4 linked regions of the Caenorhabditis elegans genome follow. The protein of the gene in region 1 purifies or fractionates together with the protein of each later gene. This does not show direct contact. Each region holds a gene or a part of one and is shown in the gene's direction. Other genes may lie near its edges. The genes, in order: meg-3, mip-2, pptr-1 and mip-1.

Region 1 (5,464 bases):
CGACTGAGCAACCCCTCCGGTCTAAAATTTTTGAACTACCGTGAAATGTTAAAACATGGTTAGGTAAAAACTTTTTGAAAGTTTTCAAATGTTTAAGGTCATTCAGACTAAACAAATCACACATGTTTGAGAAAAAACTAGCAGAAAAATCAAAAAATTACCAAAACGTAGAGATGCAAAAGTTGGTAATGCTGATTGAAAAAAGGTTTGGATATCTTAAAGTCAGTAGTTTACCAGACTTAAAAGGATAATACATGTCTTCTGAAGTCTCTATAGCAATCACTTTGCTTGAAAATAAATCACTAGGATTTCGGAATGGTGGTAGATCAACATGGAAAACACGGTTGTCGATAAGAAGTTTGTAGATTTTTCGATTAATTTTTTTTAAATCTACATCTGGTTTCACCAGAATTTTTTGATAGTTCTATTCTGAAAACAATAGACATTTAGATAATTAAAACCTACTTCAACTCACACTTCAGTCAACTTCAATTGATGTATAATATTCCGAAATGCAGGATACGGTAAACCAAGTAGGTGAAAGGGTTGAATCTAAAAAATCAATAAAATTAAACGAAAAACTGTAAAATACATATGTTCTTGCCTTGTTTGACGGGGTCCTGATACCTCGACGTTTAAAAAATCTCAGACAAATAAATGAGGAGAGTTGTGAAATAAAGGAGCTCATACCAAATGGTAACTCAAATATGTAATCGAAAAAAAAAAACACTGAGCAGACTAACGGAGCAGGCGAGCGTCTAAATGGTATAATCGATACATAGAAAGTGGTTATAAATCCTCCAAGTGTGTGACATCATACATTGTGCACAATGTAGCAGTAGCTATAGTAGCAGGAAATTAGTAACATTAGATCTATCCTGTTTGAAAGCATCAATGTCGATGAGTTGTTTTTTAAATTAAAAAACCATCGAGAATAATTTGAAAAATAAAATATGAATAATCTGAAGTCCCAAGGAATACCAAATTTCTACTTGAAGATTCTCAGTTTTTGTAACTTTTTAGAAGTCTTCGATCAAAAAAAATCCTTTGAATAGACATTTTTTCATATTTTTATGAATTAATAATGTTAAGAATCCTTATTAGTTTGGGATATCCAAACATTTTTTAAAATTTATGTTAAAAAACAAAAGATTTCAATGTTCTATATAAAGCAGTTTTTATTACTTTCCAGGTACTTAGTATTCCTATATTAAAATAATTTTAAAAAATTTCAAAACTCTGCACAAATCCGTTTTTGGAGCTATTTTAACGACCCTTTACATCTCGTTTTCAGGAATTCAGGATTATGTTCCGCCGTTTCTTTTAAAAAGTTTGAGATAAAAAATTATTTTAGTTTTGATTTTTCGCTTACAGGTTTTCTAATTAACATCTCCTTTACTGCCTATTATCCTGTTTCTTTTTATAAATTTATTCTTCTCATTTATTATTCAGTGATTATCCAATATTTTAGAGAATTAACTATCAATCCAATTGTTCCTCAAAACTCCATAGTCTTGGATAGTCTTGAAAACTGATCGATACCATGCAAACGGTGTGTGTTGTTTTGTTGATTCCCTGCCGCATTTGAACTATTTTTTCACCGCGCGCACGCATCGCCCCTGTCCGTCTCGCCACACACTATTTCCGCGCGCTCTTTCTCTACCTCTCACACTCTCTCAATCTCCCTAACTCAAGTGTTCATTCTTGTTGCGTGGTCCCACCGGTTTGCATTTTTTCATCTCTGTCTTTCTTTTTCGTTGTATTTTTTTAAATTTCATTTATTTCAATATTTCATTAAGTTTTGATTTTTGCAGGTATGAGTTCCTCAAAACCTTACCCAAGCGGTCTGCCAAACTCGAGAAGAAAAAGAGGAGGTGAGAGTTTTTTGCATCAATTTTTCATTCAATTTGTAAATTCAGGTCGCCGCTCAAGTAGTCGTAGCAATCAGGAAAGTGCATCCAACAACATGGAACACCAAATCACTCTTGACGAATTGTTCAATCCGATCGCAAAACAAGACAGTGCTCAGTCAACAAGCCGTGAATATGGTGCAAAATCGGGGATATCTCATCACGGATCCGTATCATTCAACGGGAATACATTCATGAATGGCCAACAGCTGAATCACTCGATGACTCGACATGGTCGAGTATTCAATCAGTCGATGCATGCAGCTCAAGGAAACGGCAGCAACGCCTTTAACAGTATTCCTCCTACGGCCCCCGTCTTCTCTGCAGACTTCCGCCGCAACTTGCAAACACGCAATAGCTCCAGCTGGTATGAACGAAGATTCCCAGTATCCACAGATCAGGACGACGTTCAGCAATCAAACACAAGACGTAGTAGAAGTCGTCAGAATGGACAACATGGCCTAAGCTTCTCGGATGGTTCGAACAATTATGGTCACGCTGGGAATAAGTCATTCAGTGTGAGTTCCGTTCCCGTTGGGTTCCAGAAGCAAGAAAATAATTCTAAGAAACTGCGACAAACCAATGTTCACCAGCAATGTCTTGGAAATAAAAGCTTCAACGCTCAAGCTGGAGTTCATGGACACGCTTTTAAAAAAGGCCATAAGGACAATAAAAATGCATCTGGAAAGGAGGTTATCAATTCTAGTCTTGTCCAAAAGCACGATGCTATTAAGTCGCGGAATTTGAACCAGAGCTTCTCTGGATTTCCTACACATGAAACCTCATCGATGAAAAATCAACAACAGAAATCAAGAAACGACAGAAAAAAATCACGTGGTAGCAGCAACTTCCAGGATCGTACTTACTTCAACACAAATGACGATGAATTAACTGACGATGTGTTCATAGACGATTCCATGGATGCTGCCCGTGGTCGGAGATCTCGATCAGTCACTAAGAAACTTCAACAATCGACTTATTCAAAGCAGAATGCAGGCAGTAAACAATTGACTGAAAAATGCAAATCTTCTGAAGAAGCGGCTAAACGTAACCTGGTATCCAATGTATTCAGCAAGGACGGCACTGAACTCTCCATTGAACAGTTATTGGAAATTGTCAGCATGAAGATCGGACAACAGATTCACTTGCCTTCCAGCTCTCATGGAGAATGCAGCAATTTGAATCGGACATTACCAGCAAGTGATCTAAATTGCTCAATTGGTGAAGACTTTGACTCCAGTTTTGTGGATGCTAACAACCAAACCCTACCAGTGAGTCTTCCCAAGAAAACTTCACTGTCGATCAAGCGCCGTGGAAGTTCTCGTAGTGCCTCCCGTCTGGCCAGTCTTGATGTGACACTGGAAACTGTTGAAGAAGACGAGGAACCCACGCCAAGTCCACAGCCGAGTTCTCCTCCAAAGATCTCAAGAAGAAAGTGGACAGGAACTTTTGATGCCAACGTTGAGGAAATGAGACGTTTACTTCATGGGGACCCTGAGATGCCGAAATCTGCAAATCGTGCTTCCTCAAGGTATGTAGTGAAATAGTAAAATCTTTAGTAAAAATTTAAATTTCAGCAAGGATCAGATCAATCGGAACAATGTGGATGTAAAGAGAACACCTTCCTCGTCAATCATCCCAACTCCAAAGGCTTTGATCGGAGAAAGATGTCTGACATCATCCAGCAAGTTAGTTTTACACTTGGAGCTTCTTATTTCATTATATTTTTTACAGGTCTTCAAAGTTGAACAAGTCACTTGGCGTGGTTGATTCTAAAGCTACAAAATCACCAATGTATTCCGTCACAGTTTCTGGAAAAGAAACAGCTTCAGGAAAGCGAATTGCTCAAAAGTTGACTCCAAAGGTTGTGGCGCTGGAAAGGTATGACTTTACAAAAAACGAACAACATTTCCATATTTTCTTTTCCAGCTCTTACATTACCGGAATTCCAGTTTCCACGGATTGTAATGGTTGCCCAACTCCGAAGAGAAGTGGAATCAATTGTGAAATTCGTGCAGCTGAAGTATACAATCAAGCTGGGAAATGGCCCTTCGAAATCACCAGGTAAGGTCCAAGTTAATAAATCCGCTATCGATCAAGCATATGGAAAATAATGTACAAGCTGAAAAGATTGAGCTCAAAACTTGATTCAAATCCTGTAAAATTATTTTCTGAGTACAGTAAATTTCTTTCAGTGATCCGGCTCCACTTCCTTGTGAATCAGCCGATCGGATCGAATATCCTTCTCAAGATTGCACTCAAGATCCAGCTTCAACCTCGCCACCACCTCGCATTTCTGAAAGCTTGACAGCATTCCTGGAAGCTCAGCAAGACTTTAACGACTACATTGATACTAACTACAAAGAAAAGACACAACTCCTGAAAGTGAATTTGAATATTCACGGGATGTCACCTGAAAGATGGCTGTACTTGAATTATTTTTGCACCGAGACAATTCCAAGATTGGATGGTCCTTATGCCGATGGTAAGAAAGATAAGACATATTTAATCTTGAAAACTTTAATTTTTTCAGATCCAAGAGTTCCACCTGTGCGAAATATGTTCAGAAAATGGTTCCTCCGTTTTGCTGAAGCCTGCTTAGGAAATCCTCACCAGCTTGCAGTTATGCAAGAGATTGCTGCCACGTTTGTTCAGGCTCGGCTGGACGATACGAGCAGCTCCACAGACTCCACCAATATGCTCTACATGTTGTGGAAGGAGTGTATCGGACAGAAGAATATCATCGCAATTGCTGATGCGTGTTTACTTGCACATCTTCGGAAATCGGATCCTATCAAATACTTGAATGTAAAACGGGATTGGCTGGAATCTATTTTTGACCCACCCAGAGATCAATGATTGTACCAATTTATATCTATTACTTGTAGACTATATTGTATGTTATTCTTGTTCATTAACCCTTTATCCACTCTTGTTATATTTCAACTCGCTTCTCCTTGTGAATTTGTATTATGTCTACCCAGATACTTGTAGAGGGTAGTATTATATTGTTGTCTGGATGATTGATAAAGAATTGCCGATTCTTTAAGATTTGGAGTGGAACTAGAATAAAAGAAAAGTTCGAAATAGATTTAAGAAAAGATGATTGGTAACTGATTTGAAAATATACATATCTTCTCATAGATCTTTTTTGTGAAATTTAAATACTGTCATTAGGCAAAATAGTAGTCACGGATTCAATTTTAAAACAGATGCTTCAGATTTGTTTGGAAAAGTTCCGTTTTTTAATACAGGGTGGGCCATAATTATGCGCACTACTTTGAAGCTTCATAAAACCAAAACAAAAAACACATTAAACAAATAATCATATAGGTTTTGTTCTCCGAGAAAAACTAAATAAGATACCATTTTTGAATTCGAAAATATCACCGTCCGCATTGCTACAGGCCTTCACAAGTTTCGGAAACGCACCAACGATGGCGGACAAGTAGGCACGCTTCAGGGTTTTTCATGTTTTTCTCGGAGGACTCATTAGTTATCAAGTAAAATTTAAAGTTCAAAGAATGCTCTTGATTCAGAGATGCTTCACACAA
Region 2 (5,125 bases), on another chromosome or scaffold:
AATGAGCAGTTAGGGTTGTACGTAAAGTTGACGTATTTCCTAGAGAATTTGAGAATTAGCTAGATATATTTACTTTTCGGAGTAGTCGGCGAGTTCAATACTTTTTTTTAAATTTGAATATCAATTTATCATTTCTAATGTGGAACCACTTTACTTTTTCTGATTCGACCCAAGCTTGATGTGTGAATTTTGCTAAATGAAATATTAAAACCACGTTTGAAATCTTTGAAATAGTTACAAAAATACAAAAATAGCTGCTATGAGACTATTTGAATTAGAAATAAAGCAATCATAACGACTTACCCATTCCAAGACCACCTAAAAATCTACACAACATAATGTAGAATGCACTAGTTTCTGCTGGAACATGATCAGCCAAGAGGAATAGACAATTGGAAAGTAACATTAAAAGATATCCAACACACATTGGTTTTTTGCCCTGAACATTTGTTTAAAAGTTTTTTAACTATTTAATGTATTTACCTTATACCGTTTTTTAGTCCACCATGCTGCTGCGAGTGCTCCAAGGCAATGACCAATTCCATGAAGAGTCACTGCCAAACCAAATGACGTAGGACCAACTGATGGGTCGAGCTGAAATTGTGAGGATTTTTATAGAACTTTGAAATGTACTTATAGAAATAAAGAACTTTAATCTCAGATAAATGGTTTGGAGTCTAATTATGTGAAAAGCGAAGCTAATCGGAATGCGGAGCAGAACTAATCGAACCTAAATCGAACAGGGTTTTTATCTAATTTGACTCGTCCCGCTTCTAATTAGATTCGCTTTTCGCGTGTTTCAAATTTGACTCGATTTTCATCTATTTAGACTGGGGAAAATTAAGATTAGACAGGGTTCTCTCTAATTAGACTCCAAACCATTCTGCTGAGATAGTGCTTCAAAGTCACTATTTTTAAGTTAAAAATAACTCATTTGGCAGTTGGCAGTTCTAAAACTAGTTCTTTTTGAAGATTTCACTGCGATTTTATTCATATTTTTCTAAAACCTTGCAAATTCATGACATCGTCTAGCCCGTTTCGAATCAAGAATCAACATTTTTATTACAAAATGCTTCAAAAAAGGATCCGCCCATTTCTTGCAAGCTTGGTCATATTTATTTTTCTGGCACATACTGAATTACTTTATTTTAATTAAAACATTTTAAAAATTGATTTTCCGATAAAATTTTGAAAAATATATATTCACATACTTTTGTCATATAAGTATACATAATAGTGGTAAAAATGGCATATTGAAAGTAGACAACTAATGAAAAGTATCCACAAAGATATACCACATCCCAAGAAGTCTCAATGATTATTCGCATTTTTTGACTGAAAATTTATATAGATTCTATTAAAAAACGTTCATGTACAGTTAAAATTAAGAACTTTTATATAATAGATGCTAATAAAATGTCAACTGACAGCTGAAATAGAGAATGCCGCAAAATAGATGTGTCGTTGGAAGACCACAAATGTTTGAAGAAACAAGAGGAAGAGATTTACATAATTTTGATAGAAAGATCAATTTTCCAACACAAAACTCAATAATATTATCAGAGTGGACGCATACCGGTTGGAGTGATTTGTTTTGTACTTTTCCGGTGAACTGCAGTCACAATACGAAATATGATGAGCCTTCTATAAAATAATATCTTAAAAAGTAGTTTTATATTTACTGAAGCTAATTTATAAGTCGAATCCAAAAAAATTTCAACAACCAACATGTATTCGCATTTTGAAATTTTTCCAGGCCTGCGAATTGGACTGAACTACGGTAGAGACCTGAATGTGCATTTGTGCGTGGAACGGTGTGCGCAGTACGTGGATTGTTTTCGTGTTCACTTCTAGAAACTTCTGCCACGATTTTGACATTTTTAAGTTTTAAATCATTTTTTTGTATTCGTTATTTCAGATTTCCGTTTTCTGAATATTTAAAGTCATTCAACTGATTGTTTTACTGTTTCCAGCATTTGCCTGAAAAATGTCTGAAGAAGAAGGCAAAGAAAAAATGAACAAAATGCGTAAGCGCATCGAACGGGACGCTTATAGTGTTCTTCTTTCTTTCAAAGATGGAGCCTCACCGAAGCAGGTCGAGCAAAGAATGGAGTTAGTTGATCCGAGTGGTGTGAATTTAAATTTACTGTAATTTTCAGCGACACATTAGGATATGACTACTGCTCGAAATATCACTTGGCTGGTGTTTACGACATGGCTCAAATTCTGATCGAGCATCCGGATGTACGGCAAACTTACGAGGGAAAATTCAAGATCATGTACGTTCCGATTTATCGTTCGCGTTTCTAACCTGTCAAAACTAATATTTTAGCGCAAACGAGGACAATCAGGATCTTGTGGATTTGATCTCGAAGCAGAGCGACGGACCTAGGAATAAAGGTTCTTCAAAAAGAGGAAGACGTTCGTCATCTTCTGCTGGATATCATCAACGATCTATGTTTGGAGGAGAGCTGTCGAGATCGCCACGATATTCCAGTTGTCGCCCTCGTTCGTATGCTTCCTTTGGAAAAGCAGCGTCTAAAAAGGTTCTAAAAGATGTATAGAAAGATTTAAATGTCAAGAGAATTTTTCAGTTATTCCAAAACTTCGGGCAACCTTCTCGTCCTTTCTCGGTGTTGTCGTCATCTAAAGCATCCACTTCCTCGGCAATCCAATCCTTCGGAACAGGAAATCATGATTCTACGTTTGGAAAGTCGAGTGGCTCAAATGCGAATCCAACAAATCCGCCTGTAGCTCCATCCATTCAGCGCCCTCTCATGCGCCCATCAACTGCGTCTTCGATTCCAATCTTCATTCTTCGTAGTGGAAGTCGATCACCTGTCAAGAAGCATGTGCAAATTAAAACATCTTCAAGCTCGTCTCATATGCCAACCATCACGGAGTTCATGAATAATACGAAGCGTATGATGGTGAAGGAGCTTCCAGCTTCTGTTCACGTAAGTTAAAAGTTTAGTTGTACTCTCGTATAAGTATTTAATTTCAGCTCTCCGAGATGACAGAACTCTATGAGAGGGAATTCGGTGCACCCGTAGATCCACTATTGTTGTTCAGCAAAAGCTGGATGCTTATGGCCAAGACAACATTCAAAGAGTTTCTACAAGTTATTGATGGAGAAGTTTCGTTGAGGGAAAAGTGGCTAGCTGATCAAGGAACAACAACCAAATCGGTGCTTGAGTTGCCTTCTCGCAAAGTTGAAGCTACAACTGTTGCTCAGCTACCAATATCACAAGGGTTTAGATACCAGGATCCTAACTCAAAGCCGAAAGCTGACCTGGCTTCAATCTCTAAGTCTCTGGACGGTGAGTTATTAAAATTCCTTATATTTTAACAAAGAATATTTTCAGGTCTTACTTTGAATGCCAGAAAGAGCAAAAAGGAAGCAAGCAAAAGTGACATGATGCCATTTATTCCAAAAAATCACCGAGAAATTGTCACAAAGAGATTCGGCAACGCTCCAAGCTCCGTGAAAGCTGATTCTATCGTTGAAAGAGTGCAGAGCACTTCTTGTATCTTCGGTCGACAATCAGTTCCATCAGTCCTTTCAATTTCCTCTTCTTCAACCGTTGTCCCGGAAAAGCTGAACGAAGAAGGCCTGAAATACGATTCAAAAGAGCTTCTGCAACTCAAAGCTTTGAAGAAGACTGATGTCATGTTAGTCAATGTTTATGCATCGCTGAAAGCTTTTCCACAAATGATTGATGCACGTGCGAAAGCTCTGATGCAACAAAATCTTGAAGTCCAAAGAAATATGGCAAGCCGTGCCAGCTTAAATGTTGTTGCTCAAGTGCAGCGCCCAAGTTCATCAATCAACCTTCAACGTGTCAGGGTAAATCCTAATCAATGTGTCAAGAAAGTGGTTCCAGTTAGAACCCTTGGACAGGCTCTCGCTGAAGTTAGGAGACAACGAGAACAGGTATAAATTGTTGTCCTCTCTCATTTTACTTATATTGTTATAGGTAGAGCAAGAAGCTTTCAATGAGCAGCCAGAACCTTCACCTTCACCTCGTCTCGGCATGGGCTCTTCTTCGCATGCAGCCAGCAATGTTTCAGATGATGGCTGGGGTGCTCAAGTCGTTCAGAAAGTCGAGGTAAAGTATATAAGAAGAAAACTCTTGTTAATATATTAAATTTTCAGAAGAGTCCACCCAAACCGTTTACCGTCTTGCTGCCACCAATGTCAAAAGGAGCGGGTGTGAAAATACGGCCTCGTTCTCGTGTTGTATTATGCCATTCGTCAGCGTCCTCGTTTCCACCGTCGCTGAACTCCGATTTCTCGCCGAACATCTCCCAGGCGTAGTTGAAGCAGTGCTCCTGACACGTATTTTATAATATTTATGTTTTTTTTGAATATTTTTCGTTAGTATTTATATCTGAATTTTGAACCATTTTCGCTATTTTCGTTTTTATCACACTAAATACTAGTGCCGACAATCTTTTTAAAAATTTTTAAATGTATCGTTTTCTCTATTCACAATTAAATGGAGAATAAGTCCCTTGGTTTATTATCATGTAGAATTGACTTTCCGCTTTAACGTCCAAAATAAATTATTTTTCTCAAGAATACTTCCTTCTAAATACTTATAACGCTGTTCTTGTACTCCCTAGTTGAAACAATTACATTTCCAACATTGAGATTTATTTTAAACAAAATTCCCCGTTAAAAAATTCAGAACTGTATTTAATAGGTACTGAATACAAAATTCATAAAGAAATAGATAGTCAAAATAAGGTACGGGGATACGGTGGAATACGGAATACGAGTAAGTAAATATCGGGATCGGAAACAATACTTAACAGAAGATTTACAAAACAAATAAAAGAATGCGGTGTCGTGAATTTGAAAATTTTCGAGACATCACATAAATCACCATGTTCAATTGACTGATTGATCATGCCAGAATTGATAATTACGAAAATACGATAGAATGGTGTGAAGCGATGTCTCGAAATGTTTCTATTAAACAAAAGATCTCTCGAGATCAAATAATAATGACGACGTCGCGTAGATTTTACCACTCGTCGTCGTCGTTGCCATCGGCTGAAAAGAAAGTTTCATATAAAATAGTAACGTATAGAAAATAATATTCTCACCTCCGGTTTCAGT
Region 3 (4,862 bases), on another chromosome or scaffold:
GTCATTTCTCTAATTTTCAATCAATTATTTCTCGGCTAATTTTTTGTGTAATTTCTTCCATTTTTTAGATATCAGTGCTACTATAAACTTTGCTTTCGCGGCGAGACCCATCCCACTAAGCCTCTGCGCCTTTAGGTAAAAGTTTCAGAAGTTTGCGTTTTAATTAAGCTTTTTCTATTCATCTGAAAGTTGTGCAAATTCTCACTTTTTCTCCCCGTATTTACTTCCACCCCCATAAACTGCCCCTCCTCTTCATTTTCTTCACGTCTCCGTCGTCTCCAGTGGCCTGTGATGGCCTGTGTGCGTATATTATTCCTTTACTTCTCTCTCTCTCTCTCTCGGTCTCCCACACTCTCCGGCCTTTCCGTGTGCAAATGCGTGCGCGAGTGCGCACGACGTGTCTGCGTCTCTCGACGTCTTCTCAGTGTCTGCATCACTGTGCACTCCGGAATGCACACGAACTCTGCTCGCGCCGCTCACAAACGGCGCTCATCGGGTGAGAGATTGTCTTTTTTCTCTCGATCAACTAACTCTCTCTGTGGCTGGGCAGAGTGAGAGAAGACAACAAAACGTTGACGTTTATACCTCGTGTGAGAGCGAGAGTTTTTTGTCTCTTTTTTTCAACTTTTTCACTGAATTTATTAAGCGATTTGGAACATTGTTCGTGTTTTTTGTAGGGAATAAAATATAATTTATGCGCGAACTGCGTAGGTCATGCGCATGAAAAATTAAAGGATTTTGCTTTTTTAGACTCAAAATGCGCTCAAATAAACGAATTTTGTAATGAGACTACTCTTAAATTTCCCGAAATTTTTTATGGAGGCTTCTTTTTTTTAATTCAGACCTCGAAGTTCAAAATTTCGAAAAAACTTGATAATTTTTAAAAATTAGACAAAATTTTCGATTTTTCCAAAAATTTATATGTCGTAGCGGTAGGAAATTAAAATTTTTTCCGACACGAAAAATTGGCAAAGCTAGTTTTCCAGCTGGATTTTAGATAAAAATGCCCAGTTTTATCGATATTTTCAACCGCCATAGGTAAAATTAAACGAAATTCGTTTATTTTGGCACATTTTTACACCAGCAAAAACTGTCACTCCTCTCTCAAAATTTATCAATTTTCCCCGCGGTTATCGCTAAAAGTGAGCAAACCAGCAAGAAATACAGAATTTTCGGTTGTTTTATTTTTTTTTAATTTTTAAAGCAGTTTTTACGCTGAAAACTCTGAAACTTCAACTAAATTTCGACGAAATTCAGTTTTTCCATCTAAAAAAACAAATAAAAAACAAATTCGCAAGCGTGCTCCATTGATAAATTTGCGGAGCGGGAATTTGAATCTAGTTTTTCTTGTTAAATGGTTTTTTTAATCAATTTTGTGATAGTTCTCAAAATTTCACTTTTTCTGTGTATTGGCCCCATTGCCCATTGCTTTGTTCATTTAATGAAGGCATTTTTGCAAATTTTTACCACAAGGAAGCTTTAAAAACTAGAAAAAACGCGGCAAACCACCGATCAGTAAGTGCGCTCCAATGTAAATCGGAGATTTTCTCGTTTTTTAATTTGTTTTTTACGTTAAATCGATGTTTTGTCTACAATTTGAGCGTTTTTCCTGCGTTTTTTTCGGTTAAAAATTGAATAAAATTAAATAAAACCCATTTCAATACATTTTATTCCCGAATCTGATCACTTGTCGACCTACATTGCCATTTACTTTCACTCTCTTCTTATCATAATTTCGATAACCACTGCCTATCTCTTTTACACCATTCCGCGTTAATAAAAACCCTCTCTCTCTCACTCTCTCGCAATAAAAAATCAATATATATATATATACATTTTGCAGAAGCGCCCAGAAATCTCTCTCTCGCCGTCTGCTTCTCTGCTCCCTCCTACACGAAGTTTCAACACTTCGCTCGAACACAACCAGGGCGAGAAGACGTTGAAGAAGATAAATTCTTTTAATCAAAAAAAAAAATGCACGGAAGCGGGCACAGTCTAACGGGCGCTCCGCATCAAATTCCGCCGCCACGGACACAGGGAGCCGCCACCGGTGGCCAACAACTCTCGGCGACAGCTAATCAATTTGTTGATAAAATCGATCCGTTCCATAATAAAAGAGGAACTTCTAGACGATTGTGAGTGGCTGGTTTAATTTATTTTTATCGATTTTTCCCGATATTTTCAGGCGCATCAACAACAGCAGCCGATATAATGTTGATTCGGCTCAAGAACTCGTACAATTGGCGCTCATCAAAGGTGATTTTTTTGGATTTTCTAGATGAAAAACCGAAAAAATTTCGAAGAATTGAGTAAAAAATAGCGAAAAACTCGCATTTTGCCACCCTGCCGCAGATTTTGGCAGTTTTCAGTCGATTCCAGGCAAATATTCAGGGAAAATGTCCAAAAATGCTAATTTTAGTGAAAAAATGTTGAAAAATGCTCGATTGGCCTGAAAATTAGGATAATTTTCGTTGAAAAGTTGGAAAATAGCCTACAATTGTCGGAAATTGTCCCAAAAGTGTGAATTTCGACTTTTATACAAAATTTGTGATTCTTTTTAAAGTTTTTAACGAAAACTTACACTATTTTCAAGTAAATCAACTTTTTTATGTTGTATTTTTACATTATTTCGTGAAAATTTACCTACATCGACGGGAAAACGCGTTAGAAATCGCGAAAATCTTCAAAATAAAGGAATATTTCGATGAAAATCGATTTTCGGTCGCTGCAAATTCGTAAAAATGGAGTTTTTAGTCTTTTTTTTAAAAGATTTTTTGACAAATCGGATAATTTTGAACCCAAAACTAAGAAAATTTGGTCTTTTTGAGCCAAATTTTGAACTAAAATTCTGAAAAACGCCGTCTGAAATCTCTAAAATCTGCAAAAATTGCCGATTTCAAATTTAGCCTTTTTTCAGAATATTTGAGCCGAAATTGTCGGTTTTTTTTTGAGCCGAAATTGTCGGGTTTTTCAGTGAAAATTTGCCGAAAATCCCTGCTAAAACCCCGAAAAAAGGCCTAAATCATCAATTTTTTAAAAGAAATTCAATTGCTGCTGCAAAATTTGAGATTTTCGCCATTTTTATCGAAATTTGAATTTATTTTGAGCCTTTTAAATCAATTTTACCGCTAAAAATCTTTAAAAACTTCAATTTTTCCAGATACTGCTGCAAATGAGCAACCGGCTCTCGTTATCGAAAAGCTCGTCCAATGTCAGCACGTATTCGATTTCTATGATCCAGTAGCTCAACTGAAATGCAAAGAAATCAAAAGAGCAGCTCTAAATGAGCTCATCGATCACATTACATCGACAAAAGGAGCAATTGTTGAGACAATTTATCCGGCTGTCATTAAAATGGTTGCCAAGAATATATTCCGTGTACTTCCACCATCAGAAAATTGTGAATTTGATCCAGAAGAGGATGAACCGACTTTAGAAGTCTCGTGGCCACATTTACAGGTTGGAAATGCAAGAAAAACCCGAAAATGGCTCCAGGAAGCCGAAAAATGACAAAAAAAAATCGAAAAAAAAATGCAATTTTCAGAAAAATAGAGCAAAAAGTGCATTTTTCACTAATTTTTGGTCCAAAAAATTGACTTTTTCGACTGGAAAATTATTAGTTTTCCTTTTGGCAAAAAAAAACCCCGATACATCCTGAAAACATCGAAAATCTGAAAATTATAGCAGAAAACCGCGTTTTTTTGCTCCAATATACCAAAAATAGCCCCAGTGCATCAAAAAATATTGACAAAATGACCTAAAAACTCTGATTTTCTCAACTTTTCCGTGTTACAGATGGCATTTGGCCACTTTTTGGACCGAGAAAGGCATCGAAAGACGGAATTTTATAACAAAATTCATTAAAAATCGCTCAACAGCTCATAAAATGACATTTTCAGCTGAAATCTCAAATTTTGCCAACTTTCCCGGTGTCACAACGGTCGGAAATTAAAAAATTGGCGATTTAGGCTGAAATTCGACCATTTTTCGGAATTTTCAGCAATTTTTGATTATTTTTATTACAAAAGACCCCTATTTAAAAAAATCAATTTTTGCTCTATTATACCCAAAATGGCTCCGGGCCATCAAAAAATGCTGAAAATTCGTCGAATGTCAGCCTAAATCGCCAATTTCTCAATTTCCGACCGCTGTGAAACCTGGAAAGTTGGCAAAATTTGAAATTTCAGCTGAAAATATGTAATTTTTCGAGATTTTGAGCGGTTTTTAATGAATTTTGTTATGAAATTCCGTCTTCTATGGCCAAATTTCACCTGAAACTCAGAAAAGTCGACAAAATTTGAGTTTTTAGGCCATTTTCTGGCCAAATTGGGAGCTAAAAGATGCTTAAAATCATCAGAAATCTGCAAAAATTCACTGAAAATTGGAAAAACTGCCCTAAAATCAAAAAAAAAAAAACGAATTTTGCAGCTTGTCTACGAGCTCTTCCTGAGATTCCTTGAGTCGCCAGATTTCCAAGCTTCAATCGGTAAAAAGTATATTGATCAGAGATTTGTGCTCAAGCTGCTCGATTTATTCGATTCGGAGGATCCACGTGAACGAGACTTTTTGAAGACGGTTCTTCATCGTATTTACGGAAAATTTTTGGGCCTTCGGGCTTTTATTCGCAAACATATCAATAATATGTTTTTGAGGTGAATACTGGATTTTTTTTTTCGCTGAAAAATCGCTAAAAAATGGCTTAAAAATGAGAAAATTGCAACGAAAAGCTCAATTTTCGGCAAAAATTCATGGATTTGGACCATTTTTGCAATTTTTGATATTAAAATTGTCATATTTGTGGTGTTTTGGGTGAAAATTTGTGATTTTTCTTTGAAAAATACCGAAAACTTGTGAAAAGTTAT
Region 4 (4,559 bases), on another chromosome or scaffold:
TTTTCAGCGCGGTAAAAAATCGATCATCCAAAAGATGCCATCCCCGCTAGAGGTTACAATGGAAGTTCAAGAAGAAGAAGAAGAAGAAGCGGAGGAGGAACGGCCTGCATCAAGAAGCACTCGCTCTGCATCTGTCAAAAATACAACTGTTGACCCATCGTCATCTGCACTTGCTTCTACCAAACGTACAACTTCTAGAAAGAGGGGCAATTCGGAAACGATCGACTTTAATCAGGACGACAAATCGGCACCGACGACGCCAAAAAGAGGAAGACCCGCCAAAAAGGATGCAGGATCTCCTAAAGTTGGAAGTAAAGCTGTAAGCATTTTTAATTATTTTTTTGAATTAAAAATGTTGTATTCATAAATTGTAAATTGATTTGTTTTCGTTTCAGCGTGGCACCAAGCCTAAATCGATATTCGAAAATCAAGAAGATGAAGAAGATCGTTCATCCTCTCCAGATATCGAACAACCAGCCACACCTACACGGTCTTCCAAACGAACGGCTAGATCCAGAGCAAATTCCGAATCGATCGATGATGATAGCAAGCAGAAGACCCCAAAAAAGAAAAATGCCGCGGTTAATGAAGCTGGTACCAGTAAACAGTCTAGAAGTGTGACGGTATGATCCCAAAACATAATTTTTTTTCAAAATTATTATTTTCAGAGATCTCGAGCATCATCTATTGATGTACAACAAGAGGTGGAAGAGCCAACCACTCCAAAACGCGGAAGAGGAAGACCGCCCAAAACCGTTCTGGAAAATATTGAAGAGGGTGAAGAAGAGAGAAAAGAAACGGCTGCGGTAATATTTTCAGCAATACGATTTCTCAAACGAGGTGTTTTATTTTCAGACTCCTCTACTGCGTTCAGCTCGCCGTGCTAAACAATAGAGGTCGAACACAGCTCAAATTTTAACTATTTGTCCTTATTTATTTTATTATTTGAAATTCTTCAACTGACACATGTGAAATAAGTTCCAATAAAATTGTTTGGCATTAACATTGAATTGGAAATAAAGCAATAAAGGTGCATAGAACGGAGAGTTCAGGATGGCGTTATAGTTTTTAAATTTCAAGCAACAAATTCGATAATTTAATTTTAACTGGAAAATGTGAACGATTGTTCCTAGCATGCGAAACAGGTGTTTATACCACATTTAAAAAATTTCCAAAACGAAGCTCTGCAGAATTTTTTCTAATTTCTCGTGGTAATGATGAATTATTATTTAATTTTGTTTTTTAATGCACCAATAAAACGTTTTTTCGTGTAGAAAAAAGACGGCATTGTTAAATATATTCTTCACTGCAAAAATCCAATTTTATAAAAACTAATTTAAATCTTTCGAAAGGTTACTGTAACAGTCATTTGCGTGTGCATTTCTACGCAATATGTGGCGCCAAAAGGCTTGTCCTAAAATTCGGCTACCCATTCTAAATAAAATGATTCTTCGCAGTTGTTCTCTGTTAACAGCTTGTTTTTTTTATGTTTTGATGATATTTTCATGTTAAAATAATAATTTTAACGTTGTTCATAGACGTTAGCATGTAAGGACGATCTTGACGTATTGTAAACATCTGTAAAATTAGTTATCCGTGCATCAGACTGGGTCTGAGTCTTTTTTACAATTTACTGTAACATTTTTGTATCTTTTTCACGTTAATACTTGATCAAATTGTAAAATGTTCTCTCAGAAGTGACATTCACTTGGCAAATGACGGAAGCTGACGATCCCAAGAAGAAAATACGCGCGCGCATCGAGCGCGACGTGTACAGTGTTCTGCTATCATTCCAGGAAGGAGCGACCCCAAATCAAGTAGAAAGGAGAATGGAGTTTGTGTTTCGCGGCATTATTTCTCAAATTTAATGTATTAACTATTTAGCGACACGCTTGGCTACACATATGTTGGAAAATATGTACAGGCTGGTGTGAGAGATATGGCTCAACTTCTGCGAGAGCACAAAGATGTACGACAAAATTTATCCGGAGTTTTCAGTGTTGTGTGAGAAATATATATTGCTCTTATTCGAGTCAAAACTCAATACATTCGTTTTCAGCGCAAATGAGGACAATCAAGACCTAATCAATCTGATCTCAAAGCAGAAGAAAAAAAAGAAAGGTGGAAAAGGTGCAAAGCCCATTCGTGCAGCTACGTCTATGGGATTCCATAATAAAAGTGGATTCGGATATGCAGCTCACTTGCGCTCACCGAAACCCTCATTTATGTATCCAGCTTCATCTGCCAGAGCGAACCCGGCAAAGGTTCAAATTGAAAAAAAAAAACTATGTTCAAGATTAACATAATAATATTGCAGCCACAAGCAACTGGGTATCGCAATACCGTTCGACACCCACCTGTCCGCCCTTCCACTGCAACTGGTCACTCTAGTTTCGCAAATAGATCAGCTTATTCACATCATACAACGAGAAGCACCACTGTTGGTCCGGTCAAAATTGCTCCTAGTGCGACTGCTCAGCGTCCTCTTTTACGTCAACCTGTAACCGTTGTTCAAAGACTGTCGTCTACAGTGGCTGTTCCAGTTTTGCAACCCGGGATTGACTCGAAGTGTATGCCTTCGATCGTTGATTTTTCGAACAACGTTAAGCGCATGATGCTTCTGGAATATCCTGCTGATGTCCATGTAAATTTTTTTCAACATTTGCAAATTGCAACTGATTTTTCATATTACAGCTCTCTGAATTGACCGAAATCTACGATAAGCATTTCGATGTATCAATTGATCCACTCCAGTTGTTTAGCAAGAGCTGGATGATGTTCGTGAAGACTTCATTCAAAGAATGGCTGCAACTCGGAACAGACGGTCGAGTTGAAGTGAAGGAACCCTGGTTCACAAATTTTGGAGCTGCGTTAAAGAAATCAATGCCACCTGCTCCTGAAAAGAAGAAACCAACGACACTGCATGAGCCCACTTCAAGTGTCGCATCATCGAGCTTACCGATTTCACAAGGATTTCGGTATCAAATACCAGTTGTTCGTCCGATAGTGTCTGTCGCAGAAAGTATGAAAGGTATTTACATTTGAAAATAATTAGTAGATTGTAATATTTTATTTTAGGACTCACAGTGAGTGCCCGTAGCGTAATGGGAACTCCAAAAGATCTTCCTGGTGTGTCTAACCCGATTAAAAACACAGCTCGGGGAAGTAATAAGCCTCGAAATGGTAAATCCAGAAGTTTCCATTAAAAAAAACTAATAATTTTTATTCATCAGATCTGGCATCTTCGAAAGCGAGTAAGGATCTTGTTGTTCCTGTGATGAAAACTACGTGTATCAAATCACTTGAAGATACTTCTACCAGTAGTTCGAATCCTTCAACATTGCAATTATCTACTGCCTCTACCTCTGCAACAGATCAGAAACTGCCAAAAATGAGCTTTGGAAGACAGATAGAAAAAGGATCGTCGATTCCAGGGAGACATATATCTCTTGCTCTCACGGAAATTAAAAACCAAAAAGTTATTGTGAGTAATTTTCTTGCTAGATTCCATTAATTATAATATACCAAGTGCGGTATCGTTCCGTTTTCGGATCAAGACTAGCTTTTTGTTGTTTTATTGCTAAAATACTGCAATTTTTATGTTCATTAAAACAAAAACAATATTTTTAACTATGCTAGAAAATACCATGCCGACTGTGATGAATAAGCTAAATGAATTTCAGGCGGCTTCTATTGTTGGAAAGAGTGCCAAAACTTCTACAAAAGTGCCATCCACGACTAGAAGTGTAGTTCTCCCACCAATGTCAAAAGGACCAGGATTGGCACGTTCTCGTAACTTTTCACCACAACAATCGACTACATCTTCAATTGATAATGAGTGTCTAGAAGCTATCAATGCTGCGTTGCCGTCGGATAAGGATAGTTGGTGATCGAAATTTTACGTGCTTTAAAATATCCTGTTTATGTGTTTTTGTAAAATTATTTTTTAATTAGTTTTAATAGTAACATTGTTTTTTTTATATTTTGGATGCGAGTCATTCACGAATTTTACTATAAATTTTTTTTCCGGTGCATTCTATTCTTGTTTCGCATAATTAAGAAAAATGTGTTCTGAAACATGAAAAAATATTTGTTAGCTTAAATAGCGTGACCCCTTTAGATGCAAAATTGTAGAGTAGCTGTGAGAGCTCTTCCGACGGGCCACTCAAATAATTGAAAGCGAAATGCAGTTTCTCTTTTTCTCTTCCCCAATGCATTCAGTTTCCTATTTCTCTGCCATGTCAAGATTGGCATCAAACGATGTTCGAATATGGGGGAAAACTGGGGCGGTCGGCTTGTGCACACAGACAGACCCATAAAACATGAATTTATTATTCTACGCGCACGCAAAACGTGGCACTATAGAGACTAAGAAACTGCAGGAAATTCGTTTTGAAGATGAGATAACATCAACGAACGGTGTAAAACATAGAGACAAAAAGTGCTCTGGATAACGACGCGCTATATAAGATTGACCCTTAAGGGTAAAAGAATTCTTATCCAAAAATGTTCTCCAATATTGATTTTTAAGAGAATATTATATTTCTATGCTGTCTAGT

The links.
Region 2: the proteins of meg-3 (region 1) and mip-2 purify together in Caenorhabditis elegans (affinity purification with western blotting; one study listed by BioGRID). This does not show direct contact.
Region 3: the proteins of meg-3 (region 1) and pptr-1 purify together in Caenorhabditis elegans (affinity purification with western blotting; 2 studies listed by BioGRID, with this or other methods). This does not show direct contact.
Region 4: the proteins of meg-3 (region 1) and mip-1 purify together in Caenorhabditis elegans (affinity purification with western blotting; one study listed by BioGRID). This does not show direct contact.

What each region holds. Positions count from the first base shown.
Region 1 is NC_003284.9:1,985,958-1,991,421, reverse strand, and holds meg-3 (uncharacterized protein), read left to right. Parts: upstream 1-1,814; 5' UTR 1,815-1,816; coding exon 1,817-1,874; intron 1,875-1,919; coding exon 1,920-3,441; intron 3,442-3,487; coding exon 3,488-3,598; intron 3,599-3,644; coding exon 3,645-3,791; intron 3,792-3,839; coding exon 3,840-3,974; intron 3,975-4,105; coding exon 4,106-4,395; intron 4,396-4,443; coding exon 4,444-4,769; 3' UTR 4,770-4,953; downstream 4,954-5,464. Other genes in the region: Y40A1A.2 (F-box domain-containing protein), read right to left, coding at 375-429, 476-552, 605-688.
Region 2 is NC_003283.11:13,668,805-13,673,929, reverse strand, and holds mip-2 (HTH OST-type domain-containing protein), read left to right. Parts: upstream 1-1,971; 5' UTR 1,972-1,987; coding exon 1,988-2,112; exon of another isoform or gene 2,113-2,116; intron 2,117-2,159; coding exon 2,160-2,279; intron 2,280-2,332; coding exon 2,333-2,546; intron 2,547-2,594; coding exon 2,595-2,957; intron 2,958-3,004; coding exon 3,005-3,320; intron 3,321-3,365; coding exon 3,366-3,934; intron 3,935-3,977; coding exon 3,978-4,109; intron 4,110-4,156; coding exon 4,157-4,318; 3' UTR 4,319-4,577; downstream 4,578-5,125. Other genes in the region: F58G11.4 (MFS domain-containing protein), read right to left, coding at 1-39, 304-439, 484-594, 1,212-1,328; DEAD-box ATP-dependent RNA helicase rde-12, read right to left, coding at 5,031-5,059, 5,113-5,125.
Region 3 is NC_003283.11:16,355,678-16,360,539, forward strand, and holds the start of pptr-1 (Serine/threonine-protein phosphatase 2A regulatory subunit pptr-1), read left to right. Parts: upstream 1-1,843; 5' UTR 1,844-1,974; coding exon 1,975-2,135; intron 2,136-2,185; coding exon 2,186-2,256; intron 2,257-3,160; coding exon 3,161-3,459; intron 3,460-4,428; coding exon 4,429-4,652; intron 4,653-4,862. UniProt on the Caenorhabditis elegans protein: Probable regulatory subunit of serine/threonine-protein phosphatase let-92 which negatively regulates the insulin receptor signaling cascade composed of daf-2, age-1, akt-1, akt-2 and sgk-1 by promoting the dephosphorylation of akt-1 on 'Thr-350'.
Region 4 is NC_003281.10:4,791,391-4,795,949, forward strand, and holds mip-1 (HTH OST-type domain-containing protein), read left to right. Parts: upstream 1-1,695; 5' UTR 1,696-1,715; coding exon 1,716-1,834; intron 1,835-1,884; coding exon 1,885-2,004; intron 2,005-2,059; coding exon 2,060-2,264; intron 2,265-2,317; coding exon 2,318-2,644; intron 2,645-2,694; coding exon 2,695-3,031; intron 3,032-3,078; coding exon 3,079-3,183; intron 3,184-3,233; coding exon 3,234-3,484; intron 3,485-3,683; coding exon 3,684-3,890; 3' UTR 3,891-4,033; downstream 4,034-4,559. Other genes in the region: Protein mel-28, read left to right, coding at 8-319, 396-623, 669-806, 856-894.